Linked DNA regions of Mus musculus. The protein of the gene in region 5 purifies or fractionates together with the protein of the main gene of each other region. This does not show direct contact. Links are inferred from orthologs where the notes say so. Each region holds a gene or a part of one and is shown on either strand. Other genes may lie near its edges.

Region 1 (4,038 bases), on a different chromosome or scaffold from region 5:
GGCCTTAAAGCCTGCCCGTACCCTACCCGTGGCAGAGAGGGCGGCAGAGACTGTTCCTGCTATACACCCCACGTTCGCAGACTGCACCTCTCTCAGTTGGGAACGGGCAGAGGGGTCGGAGAAGAAACTAAGCGAGAACCAGACCCAGTGGGCACTCTGAGTGATAGCTGGGCCAGTCCTGGGCCACCAGCGGACGCGGGATCCAGGACAAACGTAGGCTCCTAAGGGAGTAAAAAGGATCGGGTGTGCGGAGCAGAGTCCGGGATGGAAACTTACTGATGGAGAAGCCGCCCGGTTCTTCCTGGGCCACTCTGCAGCGCTCCAGCAACAGGGCTCCGAGGGGCTGCGCGAGACACGGCCATGAGCGCCGGCCTCCGGGCCGCGCGGGTCCCCCGCGCCCCCCACGCCCCTACCTCGGCCTCGTCCGGGCGGAAGTAAAAGAGGAAGTTGACCACCAGCTTCACCAGTCGCCGCTTGGCCACTGTAGGCACAGGGCGGTGTCAGCGCGGAACTGTTCTCATTCGCCCACCCAGGAACCGCGCCGGCCCGCCCAAGTGCCCCAGCCGCAGCCCCGACTGGCTCACCGCTGCCCTTCTTGGGGCCCCGCATGCCCAGCTCGGCCGCCATCTCTGCCGGCTGTCGGGACAGCGCCTGCAACTCTTTCTCGTTGTACCGCATCCCGCCGCACGGATCCGCGCGAACCAACACGCGCCCTGCCTCTCGGCCGCCGTCCTCCCCGAAGCCGCAGCCAGCGCCACAAAAGTCTCAGAGAGCGATCTCGGAAGTCCCAACCCGGTTACTGCGCCTGCGCGTTGTTGGGCTGGTTGCGCGGCCCTAATTTATGGGTCTGCGCGGTTGAACAGAGTCAGACGGGAAGGAGATGGCCCGTCCTTAAATAACCGCCAGACATACTAAGCGTGAGGTGTAAGTTAGACTCAGAGCACTCCACGATGAGCGAAGCGCCTTCCTGGGCCGGTGAACCCTAACGCTTTCCTCTTGTCACGATAGCCGGCGCCGCTAGACTTAGGGCGGAGCGAAACTGTGCGGTCGCTGCAGTGAGCACGCGCACTCTGCGCCCCGACGCTCCTTTCTCTCCCGCCTACCGAAGACGGAAGTCCATCCGCTGGGCCTGCGCACACACGAAACGCCGACGCCTTTGCTCCCGGAAGGGATCGCTTCGTCGGTCGTGCGCACGCGCGCGGCGAAACCGCGGCCTTGGCGGAGATTAAACCCGGATAGCGAGGCCTTAGCGTTGGTGAGGAGCTGCACAGTTTGTCGGTGGCGGCTGCTCCGTCGGGGAGGCTTGAAGGTGGGAGCGAAAGCCCGGGGGCGGGACGGGGAGAGGCAGCGGCCGCCCTCTTGCCTCAGGATCGGCGCGCGCCCGCCGGGAGAGCGCGCTCTCGCGAGGCCCGTTGGGTCGCCGCGTGATTGCTGGCTTGGGTGGCGCTTCTGTGGCCTCCAGGGTGGTTCGGGGTGTCCGAGTGGCGTCTCGGCGTGTATTTTGACCTCCTTGGTTGTTTCCGTTTCCACCTTCGTTAATCGGGGCCCTGGCGACCACTGCTCCTGTCCACCGGAGCAGGTCCCTTGCTGGGATTGAAAGATAACGGTATCTGCACATAAAAGGGATTTGTCCTGGGACCAGGCCTCCTCCCAGACCATTACCTTAACATATACCACGTCTCTGTCCTTATTGATCGTTCATCGGTAATCTTACGGTAGTCCGTGAGGTTGCGCATCTCCCGTCCCTGCGTCCTGGCCTCCTGTCCCAAGTTTCACGTGTGAGCCCCTCCAGTCATCGGCACAACTTTTCATTTATTTCAGACAGGGTCTCACTGCTTAACTGGGGCTGACCTGCAACTCGGTGTGGAAACTTGGCCGATTTCCAGTTCACAGACATTGCCATGCCTCTGCCTTCTCTCGCATAGTGGGACTTACAGCATGAGCCACCACACTTGGCTGTTTTGATTGGTTTTAAGGAATCGAGGGTTTATTTTGGCTGATGGTATGAAGGTGCGGTCTGCCGTGGTGGTCGTGTTGCAGCAGTAGTCAGCAAGCAGATAAATGCCCTTCCCCGCGTTTTTAAAGATTTTGTTTTAATGTGTCTGTGTGGAGCTTTGTGTGTGAGTGGGGTACCCATAGGGTCCAGAAAGGGATATCAGAGTCCCTGGAGCCTACCGCCACCCTTTTTTCTTTTATCTGAGATAGGATCTCACTGCACAGCCCGGTTTGGTCTCTAACACTAACCTAACCATCTTCCTACCTTGGATAAAGAAATGGGATGAGAAGTGTACACCACCACGCCCTACGTTTTCTGTGTTTCCTGGGGTTGGGAACTGTTGGTGGGCGTTTGCAGAGCTTGGTGCCCCATCCACAGAGCAAGCAGTGTGCTCACCCAGGCCCCAGTTTTGTTTTGCTTTTCTAAGATTTATTTATTTATAATGAGTACACTGTAGCTGTCTTTAGATACACACCAGAAGAGGGCATCGGGTTCCATTACAGATGTTTGTGAACCACCACATCATTGCTGGGATTTGAACTCAGGACCTCTGGAGGAGCAGTCAGTGCTCTTAACCGCTGAGCCACTTCTCCAGCCTGCCCAGGCCAGTTTTGTCCTAGTGTTTGTTTTCCCTCCAAAGCTCATGAACTAACTGCATTTTTGCAGTGGGTACCCATACACATTCAACCTCAAACATGTACCCCTAGGGGACCTTATGCATGATGGACAAGTGTTCCACCCTTGAGGTGCACCCTCACATCTGTGGCTGGATACCCAGGCTCCCTGCAGAGGCCAGGTATAGAGTCCTATGTTCTTGAAAGTTGTCTTTGCCAGCGGTTGAAGTGGTTTTCCATCCTGCTGTTGCGGGTGCCCTCTTGCTCTGAGAAGCCCATGCTGCCACCCTTAGACTCTGCTCTTGCATCTGGCCAACTTCATCTCTGGGAATGTGTCTCTTAGTAGCTTTCAAAGATGTAGACAATGCTCTTTTCAGTCCTTAAGTGGCTGAGTATGAAACATCCGACAAGCTGGTTCTGCCCCACCACTTCCATATACATCTTTCAGCCATTCTCTCGGCATCTAGAGCATCTTGTATCCTTTGCATTCTAGCCTCTTTCTCTTTGACAGCCAGTGGTATCAGTGTCCTGTCTGTCCCAGACACACTCTGTGGTGACACTGAGGTAACTAGGTACCTGGCCCTCAAGGTTCTTAAGTCAAATTTGCAGGAGGCTCCAGCAATATTAACAAGGACTGCCTCCACTTGTTTCCTGAGTACTGTCTCTGAATTTACCTATAGGTTTAAACCAAGGGCTGGGGCTGACACTGAGTAGTCTAAAGTGTTCTGTCATCAGATGACACTGCCTATAGGCTTTGGTTGAGCCTCAAAGATGGGACCCTTGGTACCAAGCACTCCATATGCCATGTGTCAGGTGGAGGAGGGCGTGTCCTTTAATGCCTGCAAAGGCAGGCACACAGGCCAGCCTGATCTATGTAGAGAGTAACCATGACTACATAGAGAATCCTCTCTTAATAATAATAATAATAATGAGAAAAATTAACAACAACACCGGGGAGAGGTGGCTCAACTGTGGTCACAGCTCTTAGGAGGATCAGGAGTTCAGCGAAGGGAATGACCTGCCTGCTGGGCTACCTCGTCCTAGCATCATGTACAGTGTTCTGAGCCTTAGCTGTCCTTACTCCCCCAGGTTTCTTCCTGTCCCCTGAAGCACCCAGGCCTGCATCATGGACTTTCAGCACAGACCTGGAGGCAAGACTGGGAGTGGGGGCGTAGCCTCCTCCTCTGAGAGCAACCGGGATCGGAGAGAGCGTCTGCGCCAATTGGCCCTGGAAACCATTGACATCAACAAGGTCGGGGGGAGGGGGTGCCAGTTCCCACATCCACAGAGCTCTCACATGCCTCAGTCCTTGGTTCATGCAGTCTAACGGTACATTTATTCACTCCCAGGACCCGTATTTTATGAAGAACCACTTGGGATCCTATGAGTGCAAACTCTGCCTGACTCTGCATAACAATGAGGTATCTG
Region 2 (3,500 bases), on a different chromosome or scaffold from region 5:
CCTTGGAAGTTGGAGGTAGAAGAATCAAGAATTCAAGGTCACTAAGGATGCAGCTCAGTGGGCACAGTGCTTTGCCTAGCATGCATAAAACCCCTGGGTTGAACCCCAGCATTTGTACAAACCAGGCAGGGTGGCTACCTCTGTAATCCAAGCATTCAGGAGGTAGAAGACTACAAGTTCAAGGTTATTTCTAGCTATATAGTGAGGGCCATCTGAGTTTTAAAAGGCCCAATCTATATCCCCCCCCCCCCCGTCACCCCCCTCCCCAATACAACTAAGAGTTTAAGGTCATTCTTGATTACATAAGGACTTTGAAGCCTATCTCAAAAAGAGAAAAGGGGGAGGAAAAAAGCAAAGGGGCAGAGAGAATTTTCTGGCAGGAAAGCAGAGGATATACCTGAACATATAACTCATGTTCAAGGGCAGGAGAGAAATGTAACCAAGTCTGCAGAATCTTTTGAGTTTGAATTTTCTCAGAAGTGGGGAGAGTGACACATTCCATTCCCAGTTTTTGGAATATCTAGTTACAATATTGACTGTTGTGAAAACTGCAACTCAGAGAATCACGGGACTAGGAAAGATAGTTGGCTTTGACTCTACAGCTTATCCCAAAGAATCAAGGAACACACCAAGAACATTGGAATGTGAGCCATTTCTGCATGAGGAAACAAGAAACAGGTGTCTTGATCCAGCAGCCACCCACATCTTGGTTTAGCTGAGAAGGTGCAATGCAAGCAGGGGACGACTGCATCCTGGTCATCAAAGAAGCTTTCCAGAAAGGTTGCCTCGTGTTAAGAATCCACAACCAGACTTTCACCCCATACTGTGTGCTCAGACCTACAACTGCTAAGCATGAGTTCCCGAGGAACCAAACCAGCTATGAGTTTAATGGAGGAAATCAATTTTTCTTAAATTTACTTTTTTTGTGTTTTACAAGTCTGTGACCGTAGGAATACTGCTTTGCTGACTCTTATGTAAAAAGATGACAACACTGCCTCCTCTCAGAAACTCTGAAAAAGCAGGAGTGGTAGCATTCACCTATAGTTCCAGCAAATGCAAGGCAGAGGCAAGAGAATCATGAACTTGAGTTTTGCCTAGGTTATAAAGTGAGAGTCTGCTTCCAAAAACTAACTAGAAAAGAACTGCAAGGATGAAATGAGCACACAGCATGACACATACCAGGACACCCAACAGCTGCCTGTACACCTGCAGGTAGAACAATGGCAAGGCCCATGGTCGCTCTGGAGCCCATGGACAGTGGTGGGTAAGACTAGGAAAGAAGCTCCACTGCTCCAACTCAGCAGCATCACCAAGCCACGACACAGGAAGCACAGAGAGCCTGTTACACACTTACCACATTCATTGAACTTGTCCTTTAGCATCTTCCATGTAAAATCAAATGGGAGCTGAGGAAAAAAAGAGGCAGACTAATCTGTGATACAACAAAGTCTTAATGTACAAACATTCTACTAGATACGAGAATATGACTTGAAGGCACTTGGGCTGGAGTGCAGCTTATGGGGTATACAGTGATTTGCCTAGTGTGTGGACAGCCCTAGATTGAACCCCCAGTAATCCCTCAAATCCTCACTTGCTGACCTCAAGACAATCAGCAGGGAACAAAACAAGTCTATGTAGAACTAGGCTACTAAGTGGCACAACTCACAATCTGGTGACAATACGTAACTCAAGCACAGCTACCTTTCTCAGAATCACTGTGCCAAGGCTGAAGTGCTCCTCAAGCCAGGGACCAGAAACCACAGACCTTTAGAGCTCAGTCTATTCCTCACCTGGCATATCACAGGCAATGCCAGGCAATTGTATTTTTGTTTCTTTGTATTTTGGAGACAGTGTCTCACCTGGTAGCTCTTTTTAGACTGGATCCCAGAGTGCCACTTCACCTTTGCCTCTAGAGTGCTGGAATTAAAGGAGTGGACCACCATGCCTGGCACTAAGACTACTGCTCTTCCAGTAACCCCTCAACTTCCAGTTCAACTCTGGAGATAGGCAAGCTGTATCACCCGTACTGCCCAGTTCTCCCTTCATCAAACTTCCCTCTCCAGTCTACATCATTCAGTCTACTGGCCTCCCCACTTCACAACAACCACAAGAAAATTCCACTAAAGAACCACTTACATTTCTCACAAATATCTGGCAGGCCTTCCTGGCTACTCCAGGTGCATGGCCTCCAGCTCCGCCAAAGGAACCTGCGAAGCTTCCTCCAAAGTTGCCCCGCTCCATCTCAATGGCTCGGTCAAAGCTAGCACCTCCGGCTCCACCCATGGCCAGGCCCATTCGCTCAATACCAGCGCCCAATGCTGGGCCCATGGCAGGGCCCATACGTTCCAGGCTGTTGGCGCCCATTCGCTCCAGGCCCATGCGCTCAAGACTGTTGGCTCCCATACGCTCCAGGCCCATGCGCTCCAGGTTGTTGGCGCCCATGCGCTCCAGGCCGGTGGCCATCCGATCCATCACAGGACCCATGCGCTCCAGGCTGGCCCCCATGCCTGTGGGCACCATCCGATCCATGCTTAGGCCCATGCGTTCAATGGCAGGACCCATGCGCTCTACACCAGAGCCCATGCGCTCAATGGTTTGGCCCACACGGTCAATGGGTGCGGCCATGCGCTCCAGGCCGAAGCCCATGCCGGCACCCATGCGCTCCACGCCAGAACCAATGCGCTCCATGGTCTGGCCCATGCGCTCAATACTGGAGGCCATGTGGTCAAGGCCTAGTGGGCCCATGCGCTCAATGCTGGAGCCCATGCGCTCAACTGAGCCCATGCGGTCCATGACCAGGCCCATGCGCTCAATCTCAGAGCCCACTCGATCCATGCCATGGCCTAAGCCTGCGCCCATGCGCTCCATGCCAGCACCGCTAATGCGGTCAATGCCAGGGCCCATCCTCTCGATCCCAGGGACACTGCCTCCAGCTCCACCTGAAACAGGAATAAAAAGCACAAGTAGAAGTCAGAGACTTATGTAGATGTTCATATACTAATGTGTGCCTGGCTGGGCACTTCAGATCCTAAGCTCAAATCAGGAAGTCATGCTCAAAGTAATTTACTATTAAAACAAAAACAAAAAAAAACCTCTTGAAAGTTTTCACATTGAAATCCACACAATCATCCTTTCCACTACATAGCACAGGTAAAAATTTCACAATAAAATTTAGAAGGAATAAAACTTCACCTCCATACTGGCTATGAGTTGTCATACTTCAATTTCTAAAAACCTTTGTAGTGTCCCCATCAGCAGACATTACGAATGCTCTTTAAAAAGCACAGAAAACTTCATACTCAGGGTAACTGACAGGAGACAATTCAAAGTTACTTACAACCTTCAAGTTGAGAGAACCTGTCCCTCTTAAAATGCCCTGCTGATGTCCACTATTGCTGCAATTCCTTTAGCACTTCTAGGGCACAAAATAATCACACAGCCATGTAAAAGATAAAACAAAAATGACCCTCAATATACACAAGCATACAAACTGATCATTT
Region 3 (4,278 bases), on a different chromosome or scaffold from region 5:
AAATTTTTAACCCTCGCCTTCTAGTATAAGGTCAATACTGCCAATTTCATCTGTGACAATAGCACTTGGAGTCATACCATTGCCTCCATTATTGATCTGATCCTCCTCAATCCTCCTTTTGACAATCCTAAAATGATTGAAATGTGCTCCACAATCCTTAATCCAAAGCATTCTTAATCCATCTCTTCAGATATGTCTACAGAAAGACACATGAAAAGCAAGATAAACATAAGAACTTCCCCCAAGTAAGATAACCACAAACACCCCCAACATCCCATTTCACACAAACCAGAGCAGAATAGACATTTACATAATATCACAGTCTGAAGAGCATGGAAATTAACTAAATTTAAACAATCCTGTCTATGACATCACTTAAAATACAAGTTACCAAAGACATGAGGGGAATGTAGATGTTAGGAGCAAGGGGATATTACACAAGAATGCAATTCAACACTTTAGCCCATTCTGAACAAAACAGCTTGAATTAAAAAAATGAAAAGATTGTACTGAGTAAAGGAAAACTGTATACAACATGGGTTCTACAAAAAGTGTCACCAATCATCTTATGTACGAGAGCGAGATCTGCTATGACGGGGAGAATAGCGTGGTGATCCTCTGCTTCTCCTTGGGGAGTAACTGCGACTCCTGCTGTTGCTTCTGCTACGGCTTCTGCTACGACTACGGCTTCGAGATCGAGATCTTCCATAACTTGGACTTCTGGGCCCATCAACTTTAACCCGGATGTAGGCAGTTTCTCCCTATTGGATAGACAGAACTTTCCATTGAAAGATCTAAGCTTTCACCTGTCTTCAGACAAGCTGAACGAATACAAAGACAGATCAGGGCTCTGGTAATTTACGTGAACACCCTTGCCTGTATCCTTACCTTCAAATTCCACTGTTAAGAAAACTGTATCCAATTCTGGCCAAAAAAAAGAATAAGTGTATAACCTACCTCGTGAGATCTAAACTTAGTGTTATCCAGTTTTCGAACTGCATACGTCATATCTTCTTTCCGTACAAACTCCACGACACCAGTGCCATCTCGGTAAACATCAGCGTAACATACATCACCTGCCTCACGCATGTGATCCTTTAAGTCCTGCCAGCTTCCACTCGGAGGCAGTCCTGAAAAAGCGATTCCCCCTAATTTAATACTACTCATCCTGTCCCACGGCAAACGTGTAAAGTACATTCGAACAAGGATTATTTTAAAATACTTAATGATTGTACTTAAGTGTTTCCAGGTAAAGAGCTGGTAAGAGTCAGATCCAGAGTCCAAATTTATTTGTAAAGGATCTTCATAGGCTAGTACTGCAACCTAATTTGGGTAAATCACCACCACAGTAATCTTTATTTACTAAATTCATCCCAAAGACCGAAGTAGTCCAAGACCCCGTGTGTAAAACAAAACAAAAACAACAATAACAAAAACCTTGCAGTACTCAAAGCAGTCATGCGGGAAAAAGATTTTAACCCGCACGAAGTCAACTCACCAGAGACAACCACTCTGTTCTCGGACCGCCTGGACGGCGGGCCATAGCGGCCTCTCGGGGCGCCGCCGCCTCCACCCCCGCCGCCGCCTCGGCCGGTCCCGCGGCCGCTTCGGGGAAACTCTACCCGCAGCCGGTAGCCGTCGTAGTCGTAGCCGTCGCGACCGTACACCGCATCTTCCGCGTCTCTGCGTGTGATCACAGAAAGCGAAAGGGGGGGGTGATGAGGGGAGGGAGCCGCCGGACCCAGCTCGTTCGCCCGCTCCGGGGGTGAAAAGCCGCGGCCACAGCGCACATGCGCACCCACGGGGCCACACGGAGCCCCACATGCGCCGCATAATAGGGCCGGCCCTTCCCCCACCCAGCACCACGCCGGGCAGAGGCTCCCGACCACCTCGCCGGCCCTCAGCGCCTCGGTTTCCCGCTCCGGGGGCTGCGCATGGGCTCGGGGGGTAGGGGGGACGTCCGAGGCGGCCGGCCACCGGAGACAACGCGCCGCCTCTCGGCTCTCCTGACTCGACTCCTGCAGGGGCGATAGCGCCTCGGAGCCCCTCCTCTCCCCCCATTATGTTCCAAGGCCTCCGAGCCTTCCCCAACTCCTCCACGCTATCTCCTCAAGGCCGCGCACGCCCCACGCTGCCTCACCGCGGGTCCTCGAACTCAACGAAGGCGAAGGGCGGTCCCCCGCGGCGGTTCTTCAGGTCGATGTCGCGGATGGCGCCGTATTTGTAAAACACGTCCTCGATGTCCTTGGTTCGGATATCCGGAGGTAGGTTACCCACGTAGATGCGGCAGTCGTTGTTCCCCGCCGGGCCACGGATCACACCACCTCCCGACATGGCGGCGGCGGCGACGACGAAAAGCGCGGACTCGGGGGGGGGGAAGGAAAAAAAAAAAAAGAGGCCTTCCTACCAAGCCTAGCGTACGGCAGAGCGAGCCCTCAGCGGCACCACGTCTCCCGCGGCCGCTCCAAAATGGCGCCTTTATCAGCTCGGCGCACTGATACCGGGGGGGAGGGGGAGGAAGAGAAGCCGGAGGAAGCGGCTCGTCCCTCCCAGTGCGCAGGCGCACGCCTCTAACGGGTGCTGAGAAGCACGCTCGCGCACGCGCGACGTCACCCTCCGCACGGAGGGGAAAAAGTCCCTCGCGTCCTGGCGGGTTGACTGGCTGCTGGAACGTCCAGGCGTTTAGTAAAAATCACATGCTCTGGTTAAAGCGGTTATTATTAATCCCCACTGAGTCCAGAATCGTCGGCCACCTCGGGGGTAGACCCTCTCTGAAAGCAGCTCGGCGCTCTAAAAAGATTGGGTGAAACCTATCTTGCAAGCGTGTCCCACCATGCTCCGCGGTGGTAACGGCCTTTGGCGGGAAAGGCGCCGCGGGGCGGAGATAGATGACGCTGAGCTGTTGCTCCGGAAACCTGGGCATCTTCTGCACTTCGGTGCCGCCGGCGGGAGTTGCAGGTGATTTCATTTAAAAGCCGAAGCGGAGCAGTGTGGCTTCTGCCTCTGGGAACCTGCGGTGGGCTGCATCTTAGTTAAAGTGTCTAGACGGATCCTCCATATCTATCTAAATGAAAACTGTGCCTTGAGTTTTCCTCTTCCTCCTTTCTAAGGATGAAAAAGGAAGAGTGATAAAACAGTTTAACTGCAGAGCCGAGATCCCGGTTCTGTGCTGGTCTAGGGAGATTATTTATTTATTTGTTTATTTTGCCAAGATTATCTGCAAAAGGATTCTTGCATTGGATACCACAATTTTGCTTCTTTGTTTTGTAATAACGGGAATAGAAGAGCCTTACGTGTGAAATCATACGGCCTTGTAGTGTTGTTAATGAACTCGAATTATAATAAAAGCAAACCAATCTGGACTTAAGCTTGTGTGCCTGAAATCCTATCACTCCGGAAGCTGAGGCAAGGAGGGTCCAGCCTACCCTGTTATACACAGTTCTAGTAAAGGTTATCCCGGAGCCAGGCAGTGGTGGCGCATGCCTTTAATCCCAGCGCTCGGGAGGCAGAGGCAGGCGGATTTCAGAGTTCGAGGCCAGCCTGGTCTACTGAGTGAGTTCCAGGACAGCCAGGGCTATACAGAGAAGCCCTGTCTCGAAAAACCAAAGGGGAGGCGGGGGGAAAGGTTAGCCCGGGACATTCAGGGAAACCCTTTCTATTAAAAATATTGAAAAACAAAACGTTTTCTTGGTGTTGTTTTTGTTTTGGGGTTGTTTTGTTTGAGACACGATTTCTCTGTGTACCCCTGGCTGTCCTGGAGTTCCTGCCTTCTGAGTGCTGGGATCAAAGTCACTACCTCCCAGCTAAAACCAGAGCCTTTCATGATTGGATAGAGACAGCCAGGCGTAGTGGTAAATGCCTCTTGAAGTTTTTGGGAAGCGGAATTTCAGGGTTCAAGGCCAGCCAGAGCTGTGTCGACCCTATCACTAATAAATATGCTAAGTCGGATCCCCACAGGTTCTAAGGGTGATTCTTTATACTGTAATTTTTAGTTTTTAATTTTTATGTTATGCATATTGTGTCTTGGGGTGGTGGGTCATGCCATGGCCCATGTGTGAAAGTCAGAAAATAAGGTGCAGTTCACCACTCATGCCATGTGAGCCCCCGAGATGAAACGTCAGGCTTGGGAGGAGCACCTTAACCAGATGAGTCACTGAGTCATTGCTGCCCCTGGATGTTATCATTTATTTACAACAGTCCAAGGATGTGGGGCTGCTTAAAATGAAACCATTAAATATTAAGACTGGCTGGAGAAATCAAGGACAGTGAGAGTGGGGG
Region 4 (3,500 bases), on a different chromosome or scaffold from region 5:
GATGGCTCAGCGGTTAAGAGCACTGACAGCTCTTCCAAAGGTTCAGAGTTCAAATCCCAGCAACCACATGGTGGCTCACAACCATCTGTAACAAGACCTGACTCCCTCTTCTGGAGTGTCTGAAGACAGCTACAGTGTTCTTACATATAATAAATAAAATCTTTAAAAGAGTGGTGGTGCATGCCTTTAATCCCAGCACTCCCAGGCAGAGGCAGATTTCTGAGTTTCAGGCCAGCCTGGTCTACAAAGTGAGTTCCAGGACAGCCAGAGCTACACAGAGAAAACCTGTCTCCAAAAACAAACAAACAAATGAACGAACAGTGTTGATGTGTCCCTGCCTCCCTAATGGAGGGATGAAAGCCATTACTACTCTGGATCCACCTCCACATTTTTGAGAAAGGATCTTTCAGTGAAATGGGTGGGAGCTCACTGATTTTGCAAGGTTAGGTGGCAGGCAGGTGCAGGGCTGTGTGTCAGCCTAAGAGAAGTTAAAGACATCTAAGATGGTCTGCTCTATATGAATGCTTGGGATACAAACCAAGGTCCTTACCCTTGAAGCATTAGCTTTACTAAGTGGACATCACCCAGACTCAAGTTTACACTCTAGTTATGTCAATGCTAGCAATTTCTCAAGAACAGGAAGAATAGGTAGCTAAGTGGTTGAGTTTGCTAGTTTATACTTGCAGAAGCTCTCAGGGAAGTTCAGTTCTCAACACCCAAATCAGATTATCTCACACCCACAACTACATCTTCAGAAGAATCAACACTCAGGAATAAACACTGGCCCCCACCCCTTACACACAAATGCCAGGAAAAAAAAGCACTACCTGGGAGGTGGAGTGTGCTGCATAAAAAACACCAAACAAACAAAAACAACATACATTTTCCAGACTTGGAAGAAGATCCCCTTTGTCCACTCTTCGAATTGAATCCACTTTTGCCCCTTCGTGAGGTGTTCCCTGAAACACGCTGACGTTTGGAAGGCACCACAGCTCGAGCAATAGGAGGAGGAGGAGGAACCCGCGCTGGGTAACTGTACATCCTGTGGGTTAAAGAAATAATTCTTCAAAGTGAATATTTAACTCCAGCCAGGCATGGTGGCCCACACCTTTAATCCTAGCACTCCCGAGGCAGAGGCAGGCGGATTTCTGAATTTGAAGCCAGCCTGGTCTACAGAGTGAGTTCCAGACAGCCAGGGCTATACAGAGAAACCCTGTCTCGAAAAACGAAAGAGAGGAGAGGGAGAAGGAGGGGAGAGGGGAGGGGAGGAGAGGAGAGAAGAGGGGAAGGGAGGGAAGGAGAGGAGAGAAGACGGGAAGGGGGGAGGGGAGAGGAGAGGAGAGAGGAGAAGAGGAGAGGAGGAGGGAAGGGGAGAGGGGAGAGGAAGGAGAAGAGATTAACTCAAGATACAACCAGAGCATAACAACAGGATTACTGGTTTTAGTCACCTCTTTTCCTTTTTATGTTATTCAAAACTCAATTTGATGAAAAATGCTGCAAGAGGAAAGAGCCCCCCCTCACACATACAGTAAATGATAGGCTTGACTAGACTTAAAAAATGGACTGTTTCCAGTTTATGGAAATTTTAAGAGAATGTAAGTTAGAATGAATTGCTTTTACCTTATACTTAAACAATTCACATAAAGTCAACTACAACAAAAAGGTGTTCTGATTTTATTCAAGTTCTAGATATTATTCTGAGGCCAGTCAGAATAATTTATGTGAATTTTTTTTCTCCATGGAACCCTGGAAAGTAAATATGACCCATCATACTTGGTGGCAGACACATTTTACCTGCTGAGCCATCTCGGAGGAACCAAGATAAGTTAATTTTAAAAAGTTTTGTTTTGAATTTATTTTTGTAAAATTGAAAAATTTTAGTGTTAACACATTACTTTCTCCAGCTCTACTATATTTAACCAATTTGTTCCCCTTTCAGTGTCATTGATTTCTGTGGTTCAAGGAAGAGTTTGCTAGCTACTTCTTTTGAGTTACAAGCTGAAAACACTAGGAAAGGTCCTATTACACTACGAATTAGCAGTAAGTTTTTACAGGACAGGAGTATCTGCGTATTACTTGCTAAGTGATAGTTTTAATCAATACTAAGTTATAGGTAATGAAGTAATCTAGAGAAAAGTTTACAGTGTTCAATGGAGCTGGAGCTCTGCGTACTACAGAAGGATGCACAGTTTTATAGGGACCATCTCTCATTTATGTGGCTTCAGCAGTCACAGGAACTTAACACTAACCATCTCACCAAGTACTGTTAAGAATGGTATACATAGTCTTTGAAAAACTATAAAAGTCAGATGTAGTGGTAAATCATGTAACCCCACACTCAAGAGACTGAGGCAAGGAGGATCTTGGGCAGACCTGGGCTACATGAGACTCCCCAAGCCAGGAGCAACAAAACACAAGAAAGACCAAGTCTAAACAAAACAAAAGCAAGGTCATTACCACTTTCAAAAAGTACAATGGTTTAGACTAAAACATCTATACTACAAAGAGAAGTCTCCCAATATATGCAAGAGCAATGGTGCCAATTATATGACTTATGGAATCCTTCATCTGAATTTATTTTTCTCATTTTTTAAGCAGGTTAAACATGAAAGGCTGGGGCTGGTGAGATGGCTCAGTGGGTAAGAGCACCCGACTGCTCTTCCAAAGGTCTGAAGTTCAAATCCCAGCAACCACATGGTGGCTCACAACCATCTGTAACAAGATCTGACGCCCTCTTCTGGGGTGTCTGAAGACAGCTACAGTGTACTTACATAAAATAAATAAATAAATCTTTAAAAAAAAAAAAAAAACAACAACAACATGAAAGGCTATGGAAGAAAATGTTAACAAACATCAATGATATATTTAATGGGAAGAAAAAATTTTAGTCTCCCTGAAAGACTTCCAAGCCAAAAATAATGTAGGCTAATGTAGACCACAAATTCACTATCATATCCTGGCTTTATACCTTAGCCCAAGCACTAAAAAAATTTAGCATTATTGGAGAGATGGCTCAGGGGTTAAGAGCACCAAATGTTCTTCCAGAGGTTCTGAGTTCAATTCCTGGCAACCACGTGGTGGTTCACAACCATCTGTACTGGGACCTGATGCCCCCTTCTGGCATTCAGGCATACATGCAGATAGAGCACTAATATACATTTTAAAAGATTTACTTGTATTTATGAGTGCACAGTAGCTGTTTTCAGACACACCAAAAGATGGTTGTGAGCCACCATGTGTTTGCTGGGAAATGAACTCAGGGCCTCTGGAAGAGCAGCAGTGCTCTTAACCACTGAGCCATCTCTCCAGCCCACAATAAATCTAAAGAAAAAAAAATAGCATTGCTTATTATGCATGTCTCACTGTCCTTTGAGATCTTTTCAATATTAGTGTTCTTTCGTCAGAGGTCCAATTTAGGGTTGGGGCAAAGTATCGGTTAGAATCTTCCTAGTACCTGAATTCAGGATGTTTTTATCTCAATCCCTAAGACTTCCAAGCTT
Region 5 (3,500 bases):
CGGTGGGGAAGGTGGGGGAGGTCAGGACTACCAAAAACAAAAGAACAGCGACCATGGGAGGGATGTGGGGAAAAGGATGTGGATAGACGGCAGAAAAGGAGAGCATGTCAGAAAACTGTAGGGGCGTGCGTCTGTTTGTACGTGTGTTGAGTCTCCCTCTCTGTCTCTCTCCAACACGTAGGTACAATATGTAGGTGGGTACGTTATGTGTGTGTTTGATCCCTGGGTTGCTGGAGGAGGTTGGGGAAAGGGAGACGGGAGAGGGGAAGAGGAGGGAGGGAGGGGCCACCCCCAGCCCGGCCCCTGGCTGGCTCAACTCCATCCGTCCGTCTGGGAGGGGGCCGGGGGGTCTTGCAGGAACAGAGTCTGACGCGTGCAGGTTGGGGAAAGGGAATGGAGGGTGGGGAGGCACAGGGTGGGGAAACAGGGGAGAGGGCAGGGGTAGGAGGAGGGCAGTACCTCAGTAATGCCAAAAGGGATGTTGCCCACGTAGAGACGTCTGGCCTGTCTGGTCATCTGGCTCCCAACCACAGGCACTGGCGTTGGGGTCACAGCCAGACCATCAGGAGTCATGGTCGGGAGAAGGGCAGTGGCTGGAATCTGACCCGCAGCTTCAAGAGAGGTATAGAGAGTAAAAACCATCAGCAACCCTAAAACCAGGACCACTCAGTGTACACTGACCCTACCCAGCCACCCTCCAGACGATGATTTCAGGAAGCTCTTCAATCACCCAAGTCAACTCAGCAGTGGGGCCCCATCCAATACCCACTACTAAGAAGTCTGATTTCCTAAGCGGCCCACTGTGGAAGACATTCCCTCCTGCAGCAGCGCTTCCCATGGTAGGTACCAGAAGCCTTTGAGTATGATCCTTCAGATTCACCAAACATGTTCTCACACAGAACTTTAACTCCTAACACACACACACACACACACACACACACACACACACACAATATTTTAACCCCTACAACAGTCTATGGGAGGGAGAGGCCTACCTTGCATGGCCTTGTACTGCATTGGGGTGATGTGCTCAAAGCCAGGCGGTGGCACGTCCCAGTATTTACGCACCTTCTTCTTCTTCTCATGGCGGGGAGAACGACTGGGGAAGGGGGGAGGGGGAAAGTGGGGCAGGGCAACCTCAGTCTGACCAACACTGGGCCTCCAAGTCCCATAAGGGAACACCTCCCAGCCCACCACACCCTCCCACACATAAGCTCCACTCTCTCCAGGAGGGAGAGCTGGGCCTGGGCCTGAGGAGGGACACTGGCAGATGAGCCTCTTCCCCAGTGCTAGGGCCAGGGTGGGGATGCAAGGCAGGCAAATTGCACAGGTGAGGAAGGAGATAAGGGAGTGGACATGGGGCAGAAGGGGCAGGAAGAGAAGCTCACATCAATCCACCGTGCTCCTCTTTAGCGCCTCTGGTCAAAGGTTTGCTGAGGGGTGGGAGGGAAAGGGAAAGGTATGGGGAGGAGTGACTGGGGACCTTTGTCTTCCCCACACAACACACCATGCCCAAGGTCACTGAACCCCAAGACCAAGGCAGGACCGAGGAACATGCTGGCCCCCTCAGCCCTGCCAAGCCCCCCAACCCTACCATTCCCAGGAAAGAGGAAGTAATAAGCAGGAAGAGACTATGCCACTCTATGGAGAAACTGAGATAAGGAAGGAGGCTCTTCATATATCCCACACCTCCTTACCTAGAAGGAACAGAAAGAATGAGGGAACCCAGGAAAGGAAGATAACTCTAAATAACTAAACCAATAGCCCTGAGCTGGAAAATTAAGGCTCAGGCTTCAGGTACAGCCTGCCCTACTCCCAGAACACATCGGAAGAAGAAGAAACAGGGCTTCAAAACAGCCCCAAACAGAATGAGAGAACAAAACATTAACTGGGCCCTTAAAGACAGGGACAGCCTTGCCCTTAGAGAGAGGAAAAGGGAAAAAAAAAGTCTCTGTCCCCAGGAACTACTGCCCCCAGCAGTCCTTTAGCACTGCCAGAGAAACTGAAAGAAATCCCATAAACAGAGAAAACGGAGTTCAAGATAGACCAAGCAGTACCAACACAGAGACCAGTCATCCAGCCAGAGGTTCCAGAGCTCTAGTACCTTCGTCGTCTCCTATCCCGAGAGGCACTGCGCTGGTCCCGGTTGCGCCGATCTCGGCTCCTGCTCCTGCGCTTTCGATCTCGGCTTCGAGAGCGACTGTGACTACGCTTCCTGTGCCGATTCTCCTTGTCCCGCTCTGGACAAGTGTGAGAAGAGATGGAATGAGTGAAGAGAAAGTGCAGGCCCAGCCCACCCTGCGTGCTGGTGGCTATACCAAGACCCAGGGAGGCCTCCCCCCCAAGGGAAGGGATTTTAATAAAAGGAGACAACAGGCCTCCTGGGTCCACACACGAGTCTACAAGGACTCTGAGGAACCAAAGGGTCAGGGCCTGGAAATGCCCCCGGGGTGTAAGATACCTGAAGATGCTCAAGAGGAGCTGAGGAGCCAGAGAAGACAGAGGAAGCTGGCTCCTGTTCCCCCTCGAGGGCTGAGGGGCCTGACCTCAGGGTCGTCCCTGAGAGGGGCAGGGCTAGAGGCTGGGGAATCAAGAGACCCAATGATGTTTTCCTGAAGAAACCCACCAAACCCTCAGGAAAAACCTCTGCAACCAGCTGGTACCCACAAGCCCCACCATCAGACCCCAGGGTCAGGTGCCAGGCAGACCTAGTAACCTTAAGAAGTGAGGAAACTCAATTCCATCCCTTCCCAGCCAGGTGAATAATGCAAGAGTAAACACCCTCTGAAAGGGAGGGGCTTCTTTCTAAATGTACAGAAAGGAAGGAAAAGATACCTCCCAAACATTTCAACTCATGGTCCAGAAAGCCGCATCCACCAGCCCCTGGCTACCTCACTCCCTCAAAGCCAAAAGCAGGGTGGGCTAGAATAAGAACCTGTGTCTTCACCATTATCTACTGTTTCCTTTGCTTCTTTGCCTTAGAGGCCATGGCTACTAATAACAGAGCACAGCCTTGCAAGAAAAACTACAAAGCCTCAGAGGGCAAAGGCAGGCAGGTGGATCTGAGAGTTCAAGGCCAACCTGGTCTACATAGCAAGTTCCATACCAGCTAGAGGTACATTAGTTGGGTTCCAACTTAAACCAAAACACAATATAACTCCTATTCTGCAGACTACCCACTTCAGGTAGACGCTAAACCAGGATCGCCTTAATACATTTTCTTAATTCCAAAGTACCACCGATCTCTCAACCATCAACCCACGCACCCATACAGAGCAACACAACCAGGAGTGATGAGGCATGTGGCAGGCTGACACAGGAAAAGAAAAAGAGTTGGCTAGTGAGTTAAATTAAGATCCTATCTCAAAAACAAACATACTCAAGAACCGAAACAGGTGTATCCCAAAAGTATTGACTTCTAAGATTGGCAGTAGGAAAAAAAAAAAAAAAAAAAAAATCAATGAGAAAATTTTCAAAGTAGATTTTAAACTCACCTCACA
Region 6 (3,500 bases), on a different chromosome or scaffold from region 5:
CACGGGAGTCCAACTCCCACAGTTCCTAACTGGGCCAAGGTCTCCTCGATAAACACAATCCAGCAGCACTTGCTACTTGACAGTGTCAGTAGGTGAGCATGTGTGAGCACCAAGAGGCAAACCACAGCCAGCCACCCAGGGAGCACCCAGTGTCATACAGCTACAATCTAGGCCCCGGGGAGCCTAAGACAGAAAGATCAGGCATTCAAATTCAGCCTGGCCTACATACTGTATAAGAAGACATCCTAAAAAATGAAAATGACAGTGGTCAGAAGCCTGGTTTAGCAGGCAAAGACAGATGCTGCCTCAGTACCTTGGTCTGACCCCCAGGAACCACGTGGCAGAGAAAACTAACTCCTGAAAGCTGTCCTAACACCCACATATACTGAGCTACATGCCCCTACAAAGGAGTCAATCAAATGGAAAAGCCCATCAAATAAAAACACTCTAAAACAATAATGTAAGTCAGCTATTTTACTATATCGAATACTTTTTATCTAAAAAAATAACAACTGTTCATTTTCTTCCCATTTGGAAGAAATACCAGTCTCTTTAATGTTGTTACTATCTCTAAAATAATCAGTGAGTACAATTCTGCTGTTTTGTGAACAAATGAAAACAGAAATTCCTCCTGAGGGTCTGACTCAAGCAAAGCACCCCATGTACCTGCAGACCCCGATGGTGGGGGAGCTCCTGAGCGCTGCCACTCTGTGGCCTCTGCAGCCAGCCTTCGAATGTACTGCTCATTCACAGACAACAAGATGTTCTCTGGTTTGATGTCCGTGTGGATGATCCGGCACTTGGTGTGTAAGTAATCCAGGCCCTGTAGCACCTAAGTGAGAATAAAGCAGGAGCTTCAGTAACACACGGTCCAAGCCTGCTGGGAAAGGAAGAGTCACAACGCACAGAGAGAGGGTTCGCAGGTGCAGCTGGCCCAGCAGCGAAGAGCATTGGGTTCTTCTTCCAGAAGACCCAGGCTCAATTCCCAGCAACCATATGACAGCTCACAAGCACCTTAAACTCCAGCTTAAGGGAATGCTCATCTGGACTCTGCCTATGCATGACGTAGACATGGAGGCAAACACCACACAGACATAAGAAAAAAACAAACTAAAACAAAAGCCCACAATGCCAAGTTTTCTTGTCTCCACACTCGCATGCAGACAATTTCCAAGTGAGTCACTTCCCAGCCCGATCCTCAGTCTGTGTTTTGTCAGGAGAAAACACCGGAGGTTTTTAAATAAAGATACCATCAGCCAGGTGTAGTGGTGAAACCCTCTAATCCCAGCACCCAGGAGGCAGAAGCAAACTTAAGTTCTGGGGCAGCGTGGTCTACATAACATAGTTAGATACTTCTCAAAGAGGCAGGCAATAGAGGGGAGGGGTATCCCACATAGCAATAACCAACATACATACTTGCTGAATAATTTTTTTGACACAAGGCAGCGGAAGCCCCTGATAGTTGGACTTGATGATCCACTTGAGTAGATGATGCCCCAAAACCTCAAACACCATGCAGATATCTAGGAGTTCATTAAGGAAAAAAAAAAAAAAAAAAAAAAAAGAGGCCCAAGGAAGCAGGTAGACTCCAGCATCAACAGTCTTTTCAGTCACAGAACTACTTTAAAAAAGTTGGTTTAGGGGGCTGGTGAGATGGCTCAGTGGGTAAGAGCACCCGACTGCTCTTCCAAAGGTCCGAAGTTCAAATCCCAGCAACCACATGGCGGCTCACAACCACCCATAATGAGATCTGGTGCCCTCTTCTGGTGCGTCTGAAGACAGCTACAGTGTACTTACATATAATAAATAAATAAATAAATAAATAAATCTTTAAAAAAAAAAAAGAAAAGAAAATTTAAAAAAAAAAAAAAAGTTGGTTTAGGAGGAGAAAACACACTCAGAAGGTGGAAGGAAAGATCAGTCTAGTCGTCCCCTCAGAGTCAGGTTCCCCTCAGAATATCGGGCTTGTGTGTGTGTGTAACATGACCACTCACACAGGCTCAACATGAAGAACAAAGAAGATGCAAAACTTAACTGAAAGGTGAAGGTGGCAAGCTCTCTGCCTGTGGTAGAGTGGAACATACCTAGTGTTTGCGAGGGAAGTACCTCGGCACTGGACTAACCCTCCCTGAGAATTTAAAAACAGATCCCTGACTCGCTTTATACAGACACTCCATGCATCGATCTTAATGCCTGCGTGCTGCCTACCCACGGTCTCTTCATGTGGCCCAGACTGGGTGGAGAAGCACCACCACTCTGCAGGCCATTGGGTTAGCATCCTACTTTAGGGTCAAAGTTAACATAAAGAGTTTGAGGAGAGGCAGCACACGTTTACTAGAGAACACCAAGGCCAAGTAATAAACTGCCACAGTGGGAGAACATGGCGCCTGTGGACTCAGCCTCCGGAGAGACCTGTAGGCGACCTATGAGACCAGTGTCATACAAAGCATGTCACCTTCACAGCGGGCAGCATCTCAGTGATAAGCCTGATGGATCTGCTCACAGGTGCTGATACAGCACGATAAAGAACACACATCCCTCAAGGTACAATAGACAAAACTGACAAACCCGAGAAAGCAACCACAGACCTAAATTAAGGGATCCGACAGGTGGGCTCTTTTTTTTGAGACAGGGTTTCTCTGTGTAGCCCTGGCAGTCTTGGAACTCCCTCTGTAGACCAGGCTGGCCTCGAACTCAGAAATCCGGCTGCCTCTGCCTCCCAAGTGCTGGGATTAAAGGCGTGCGCCATCACTGCCTAGTGGGCTCTTATTTGCCTGATTCAAACAGACAAACTTAAACAGATGATGGCAGGCACTGGGCAACAGGGGCAGGAGTCCCTCAGGAGGAAGGTCTTGAGACTCTAGGTAGACTCTCAGTTGTGAATCTAGGCATCCCAGGTGGAAAAACAACAAGGTACCAAAGGGAAAGCTAGACCACCATGGTGGATATTTGCCGATGTCCCTTTTAAGTATTCACGAGTGCCCACGTACCAGGCACAGAAGCATCAGGAAGGATGGGAAGAGGACAGTAACCAGCTTCTGCTCAAGGGCTGCAACTATGCACTCACGCACGCAAAACCAGAGAGAAAGCCAGGCGGGGTGACGCACGCCTTTAATCCCAGCAGTAGGGAGGCAGAGGCAGCAGACGTCTGAGTTTTGAGGCCAGCCTGGTCTACAGAGTGAGTTCCAGGACAGCCAGGGCTACACAGAGAAACCCTGTCTCGAGAAAACAAAACAAAACAAACAGCAGCAACAACAAAAAAGCTCTTAAAGGATACGTGTTCCATTAACGCCTGATATTTTAAAGTCATCTAGTAGTTGAACAACCATTTCTCCATTTGGATCATTCGGGTCTGAGTTGCGAACCTGTGTTGGGAGGAAGCCATATTTTAGCACAAGTGAAGTAGTACAGTCAGTCCTCAAGTAAACAGGGAGGAGCAGGCTGTCTGAGCCTCTTTCCCACACTGCTGTTACTACAACCCACCATAAAAAATGAAAAGA
Region 7 (3,500 bases), on a different chromosome or scaffold from region 5:
GTCGGGACGGAGACTAACTTGTCCCACCTCTCCTCAGCCTCTCCAACTGTGTCTCTTCTCCTCTGTGCCAGACTTAGAGATATACAAGTTTCTTCTAGGAAGCCACTTAGAGGTGGTAAACTAGGGAACAGTTTGTGGTCAACATCAGTGCCATAGCATGTGGCAGTTTTATGTAACTTGGAAAAAGCCTAGTGTCACGGCAATGGCTCGGACTACCCTGCAGATTCTGTCCCAACCTGTGAGCCCTCAGGTCGGCAGGTGACTTACTCGTTTGTGCTGCCTCGCCAGTTTCTCTTTAGCTTCTTCTAGCTCTTTCTGGATCTTCAGAACATGTTTGTTCATCTTACGAATTGTAGAGTGCAAAATTTCCCACACAAACAACCTTAAAGTAATACAGCATTTGGTTAATGTATGTTATGCTACTGCAGAGGAAATATCTACAGTTTCAGCCTATCATTCTTAGGGGCTGATGGGGCCTTCTGTCCCCTGGGAAGAATGAAGCAGTCTTTTCCAGCAACACTAGTTCAGCCCTGCGGTGAATTATGAAGCATCCGTCTCCACACATTAGTCAGGCAGGCGGCTCCCAGGGGGCAGGACCATAACCTGTACTTGTCCACCCCTTAATAAAACACCAACATTAGAGTTGGTTCTCCTACCATGTGAGCTCTGAGGATCAAACCCAGGGATCTCAGACCATTAGGCTTGACAGCAAGCCCCCTGACCCTCTGAGCCATCTTGTTGGCCCTGTAAAAACTTTTGATCATATGACACTTCAGGCCTCGGTATATTTCTGACAAGTGTGCTCTGCAAATAGTGGGTGTAGTGGAAAAGTTAAGACTGTCACAGATTTTATTTCATTTGTTTTCACAATATGTTAGCCCTTGCTCTTTGGTCCTGATCACTATAAAGCCTGTGTAACATCACACTGTTACTGGTGATACAGTTCTGGTTCAGACCTCGTAAAGTCCCGAGACAGCTCCGATGAGAAGATCCAGTTTGCTACTGCTGCACAGTCGACAATCTGCGTACGAATCATCTTATCAACCAGCACAGCAATCATCTACGACAAGGAAGAGACAAGCAGGCACGGTGGTAAACAATGCTAGGAAATGAAATAGTGCGGCTATGAAATGTGATTTCAATGGCAAGAGAATTGACCAGTTTAAGCCATAGCTCGTCTTTTTTTTCTTCTAGACACGGTTTCATATAGCTAGGGCTGGCCTTGAACTCCTGATTTTCCTGCCATTACTTCCCAAGTGCTGCCATTAGTCTTGATTAGACTAGTCAGCCTTTAGATTTATTCTGCCTTCTGCTATGCTCTAATATTATAAGAAAACTATATTAATAATAAAGATTGCATGAAAAGACAACTCTTGAATGGTAGCACATACTCTTTAAGAAAACTTTCATTGATAATACCTCTATAAAAATATATAAGCCGGGCGTGGTGGTGCACGCCTTTAATCCCAGCACTCGGGAGGCAGATGCAGGCGGATTTCTGAATTCGAGGCCAGCCTGGTCTACAGAGTGAGCTCCAGGACAGCCAGGGCTACACAGAGAAACCCTGTCTCGAAAAACAAAAACAAAAACAAAAGAAAAAAAAGTATATATATATGTCTGGCCCTACTTAAAAATGTTATGGGTCTTGTTTGTAGAAATGGATAATCATGACAACTATTTCCTACCAAATATTGTGGTCAAACAATTTTCTTCCTCAGCATCTAATATGTGTGGAATTGCTTTAGCACAAAACCAATCCCAATGCCACCTGAAGAATGTTACCAAGGTCCGGCGAGATGACTCAATGGCTAAGACACTCGATGGCAAGTTGGACAAGCCAGGTTCAATACCCAGGACTCACCATGGTTGAAGGAGAGAACAGACCTGAAATTTGTCCTCTGACTTCGCATAGGCCCCGTGACCCTCCCATGCACCCCTAAGCAACAGCTCAGTGTAATTTAAAAATCTACCAAGAAGAATGTATCAGTTAAGTATTTCCATAACACCCAGTGTACAGACTTAAAAAACATTCTACTACTGGCAGACTCCAATCTACCTAATGTCATACGTGTGTATCTCCATAGCCAGGCCCACGTCCCAGTGAGCAGGCGTTACCTGTGGATGGTTCCTCCACACTTCAAACATGACTCTCAGCACGTGCAGCTTCCCCTTATCACTCTCCGCCAGAGTTTTGAAGACTTCATGAAACCTTTAGACAAAGGTGCAAAGTACCAGAGTTACTCAGAAGCCCCTTTAGTGTCACTGAATTTAAAATATAGCACATAATAAAAGACAAAGAGTCATCCCTAAGCCCACACATGTGTTGGAACTGCGCCCGAGGAAGCTTCATCAGCTTAGGAGAGTGCTCTTTCCTCATGGACTCTTACCAGATTTGCTATCGTTACATGCCAACCCTCGGGCAGGCTCTCGTTGCTGCTTCCTCTCCTGGGAAAGGCGTCAAGATAGGCCGGACCCTCAGCCTGTGTAGACGACTGTCCCCGGGACCTAGGCTGGCACTGCTTTACCCACCACATGCACAGCTACACTGCACACACTCAAGGAAGCCACCACAAACCAAACCCCACTCTAGCAAACTATGTAAGAAGATCTTCATATTTAACAACTTTAGGCAAGTTAGTACAGCACTGGTGCTCAAATGTATATACTTACTTTGCAAGAGCACTGAAGGAGTGACTGAAGGACTTGGCAGCTAAGTGCAGCAGAGTCTGGACAAAGACCTCTATTTTCAAAGGGTTAAATCTGAACCCTTCATCTGAAAAATATTTTATAGTAAGATTTAAAAAAAGTTAACTGTCGGGCAGTGGTGGTGCATGTCTATAATCCCAGCACTTGGGAGGCAGAGACAAGCAGATTTCTGAGTTCGAGGCCAGCCTGGTCTACAGAGTGAGTTCCAGGACAGCCAGGGCTACACAGAGAAACCCTGTCTCGAAAAAACGCCCCCCCCCTCCCAAGTTAACTATAGTAATTCTTTGGTGCTACACCTTGTACTGCTAATAACATATGAACATATAATAATGTTCTAGTAAAAGCAACACCACACTCCTGATTTCACACATTGACAACATAAAACTAAGTTGGGCCAGCCAAGGCTACATAGCAAGACCTCATGTCAATCCCTCGTGAAAAAGCAGACCCTTAACTCTCTCTCATGGGAGAGTTCTTCTATATAGCTCAGGGTTGTTTTTATGGCAGGCTCTCACTATGCACTGTTGTTGGCCAGGAACCTCAAACTTGGTTGGATTAACAGGCTTGCACTACCACTCCTGGCTTATGACCCGTTTGCTTAAAACCATCACACATCCCTCTTCCATATTCTGATTACGAGATGTCAAAATGTTAAAGCAAAACCAGCAAAACCTTTAAACCTACAGCTTACAACTTCTGCCAAGTCTAAACCTCCTGTTACCACAGCTGACTAACACGTCTTCAGTGCACTCCCAAGCAAAGGGCTGTCTCTGCAGACCAGTCATCTGCTCTTT

Evidence for each region.
Region 1: the proteins of U2af2 (region 5) and Sf3a2 purify together in Homo sapiens (affinity purification with mass spectrometry; 3 studies listed by BioGRID and IntAct, with this or other methods). This does not show direct contact. The link is inferred for Mus musculus from reciprocal best matches to the Homo sapiens genes U2AF2 and SF3A2.
Region 2: the proteins of U2af2 (region 5) and Hnrnpm fractionate together in Homo sapiens (co-fractionation; 4 studies listed by BioGRID, with this or other methods). This does not show direct contact. The link is inferred for Mus musculus from reciprocal best matches to the Homo sapiens genes U2AF2 and HNRNPM.
Region 3: the proteins of U2af2 (region 5) and Srsf1 purify together in Homo sapiens (affinity purification with mass spectrometry; 4 studies listed by BioGRID and IntAct, counting the BioPlex papers as one, with this or other methods). This does not show direct contact. The link is inferred for Mus musculus from reciprocal best matches to the Homo sapiens genes U2AF2 and SRSF1.
Region 4: the proteins of U2af2 (region 5) and Hnrnpc fractionate together in Homo sapiens (co-fractionation; 3 studies listed by BioGRID, with this or other methods). This does not show direct contact. The link is inferred for Mus musculus from reciprocal best matches to the Homo sapiens genes U2AF2 and HNRNPC.
Region 6: the proteins of U2af2 (region 5) and Srpk1 purify together in Homo sapiens (affinity purification with mass spectrometry; 3 studies listed by BioGRID and IntAct, counting the BioPlex papers as one, with this or other methods). This does not show direct contact. The link is inferred for Mus musculus from reciprocal best matches to the Homo sapiens genes U2AF2 and SRPK1.
Region 7: the proteins of U2af2 (region 5) and Ncbp1 purify together in Homo sapiens (affinity purification with mass spectrometry; 3 studies listed by BioGRID and IntAct, with this or other methods). This does not show direct contact. The link is inferred for Mus musculus from reciprocal best matches to the Homo sapiens genes U2AF2 and NCBP1.

What each region holds. Positions count from the first base shown.
Region 1 is NC_000076.6:80,797,497-80,801,534, forward strand, and holds the start of Sf3a2 (splicing factor 3A subunit 2), read left to right. Parts: upstream 1-1,238; 5' UTR 1,239-1,309; intron 1,310-3,699; 5' UTR 3,700-3,736; coding exon 3,737-3,862; intron 3,863-3,959; coding exon 3,960-4,031; intron 4,032-4,038. Other genes in the region: Plekhj1 (pleckstrin homology domain-containing family J member 1), read right to left, coding at 277-343, 414-481, 585-678. UniProt on the Homo sapiens protein: Component of the 17S U2 SnRNP complex of the spliceosome, a large ribonucleoprotein complex that removes introns from transcribed pre-mRNAs.
Region 2 is NC_000083.6:33,647,459-33,650,958, forward strand, and holds part of Hnrnpm (heterogeneous nuclear ribonucleoprotein M), read right to left. Parts: intron 2,940-3,500; coding exon 2,137-2,939; intron 1,407-2,136; coding exon 1,355-1,406; intron 1-1,354. UniProt on the Homo sapiens protein: Pre-mRNA binding protein in vivo, binds avidly to poly(G) and poly(U) RNA homopolymers in vitro. Involved in splicing.
Region 3 is NC_000077.6:88,045,895-88,050,172, reverse strand, and holds the start of Srsf1 (serine/arginine-rich splicing factor 1), read right to left. Parts: upstream 2,801-4,278; 5' UTR 2,335-2,800; coding exon 2,141-2,334; intron 1,684-2,140; coding exon 1,499-1,683; intron 1,131-1,498; coding exon 958-1,130; coding exon of another isoform or gene 904-957; exon of another isoform or gene 762-903; coding exon 567-761; 3' UTR 1-566. UniProt on the Homo sapiens protein: Plays a role in preventing exon skipping, ensuring the accuracy of splicing and regulating alternative splicing.
Region 4 is NC_000080.6:52,076,522-52,080,021, forward strand, and holds part of Hnrnpc (heterogeneous nuclear ribonucleoproteins C1/C2), read right to left. Parts: intron 1,043-3,500; coding exon 882-1,042; intron 1-881. UniProt on the Homo sapiens protein: Binds pre-mRNA and nucleates the assembly of 40S hnRNP particles. Interacts with poly-U tracts in the 3'-UTR or 5'-UTR of mRNA and modulates the stability and the level of translation of bound mRNA molecules. Single HNRNPC tetramers bind 230-240 nucleotides.
Region 5 is NC_000073.6:5,065,143-5,068,642, reverse strand, and holds part of U2af2 (splicing factor U2AF 65 kDa subunit), read right to left. Parts: intron 2,582-3,500; exon of another isoform or gene 2,462-2,581; intron 2,241-2,461; coding exon 2,105-2,240; intron 1,434-2,104; coding exon 1,389-1,433; intron 1,100-1,388; coding exon 996-1,099; intron 612-995; coding exon 460-611; intron 1-459. UniProt on the Homo sapiens protein: Plays a role in pre-mRNA splicing and 3'-end processing. By recruiting PRPF19 and the PRP19C/Prp19 complex/NTC/Nineteen complex to the RNA polymerase II C-terminal domain (CTD), and thereby pre-mRNA, may couple transcription to splicing.
Region 6 is NC_000083.6:28,602,022-28,605,521, forward strand, and holds part of Srpk1 (SRSF protein kinase 1), read right to left. Parts: intron 3,366-3,500; coding exon 3,278-3,365; intron 1,524-3,277; coding exon 1,417-1,523; intron 833-1,416; coding exon 667-832; intron 1-666. UniProt on the Homo sapiens protein: Serine/arginine-rich protein-specific kinase which specifically phosphorylates its substrates at serine residues located in regions rich in arginine/serine dipeptides, known as RS domains and is involved in the phosphorylation of SR splicing factors and the regulation of splicing.
Region 7 is NC_000070.6:46,166,011-46,169,510, reverse strand, and holds part of Ncbp1 (nuclear cap-binding protein subunit 1), read right to left. Parts: intron 2,774-3,500; coding exon 2,671-2,773; intron 2,210-2,670; coding exon 2,116-2,209; intron 1,061-2,115; coding exon 957-1,060; intron 383-956; coding exon 268-382; intron 1-267. UniProt on the Homo sapiens protein: Component of the cap-binding complex (CBC), which binds cotranscriptionally to the 5'-cap of pre-mRNAs and is involved in various processes such as pre-mRNA splicing, translation regulation, nonsense-mediated mRNA decay, RNA-mediated gene silencing (RNAi) by microRNAs (miRNAs) and mRNA export.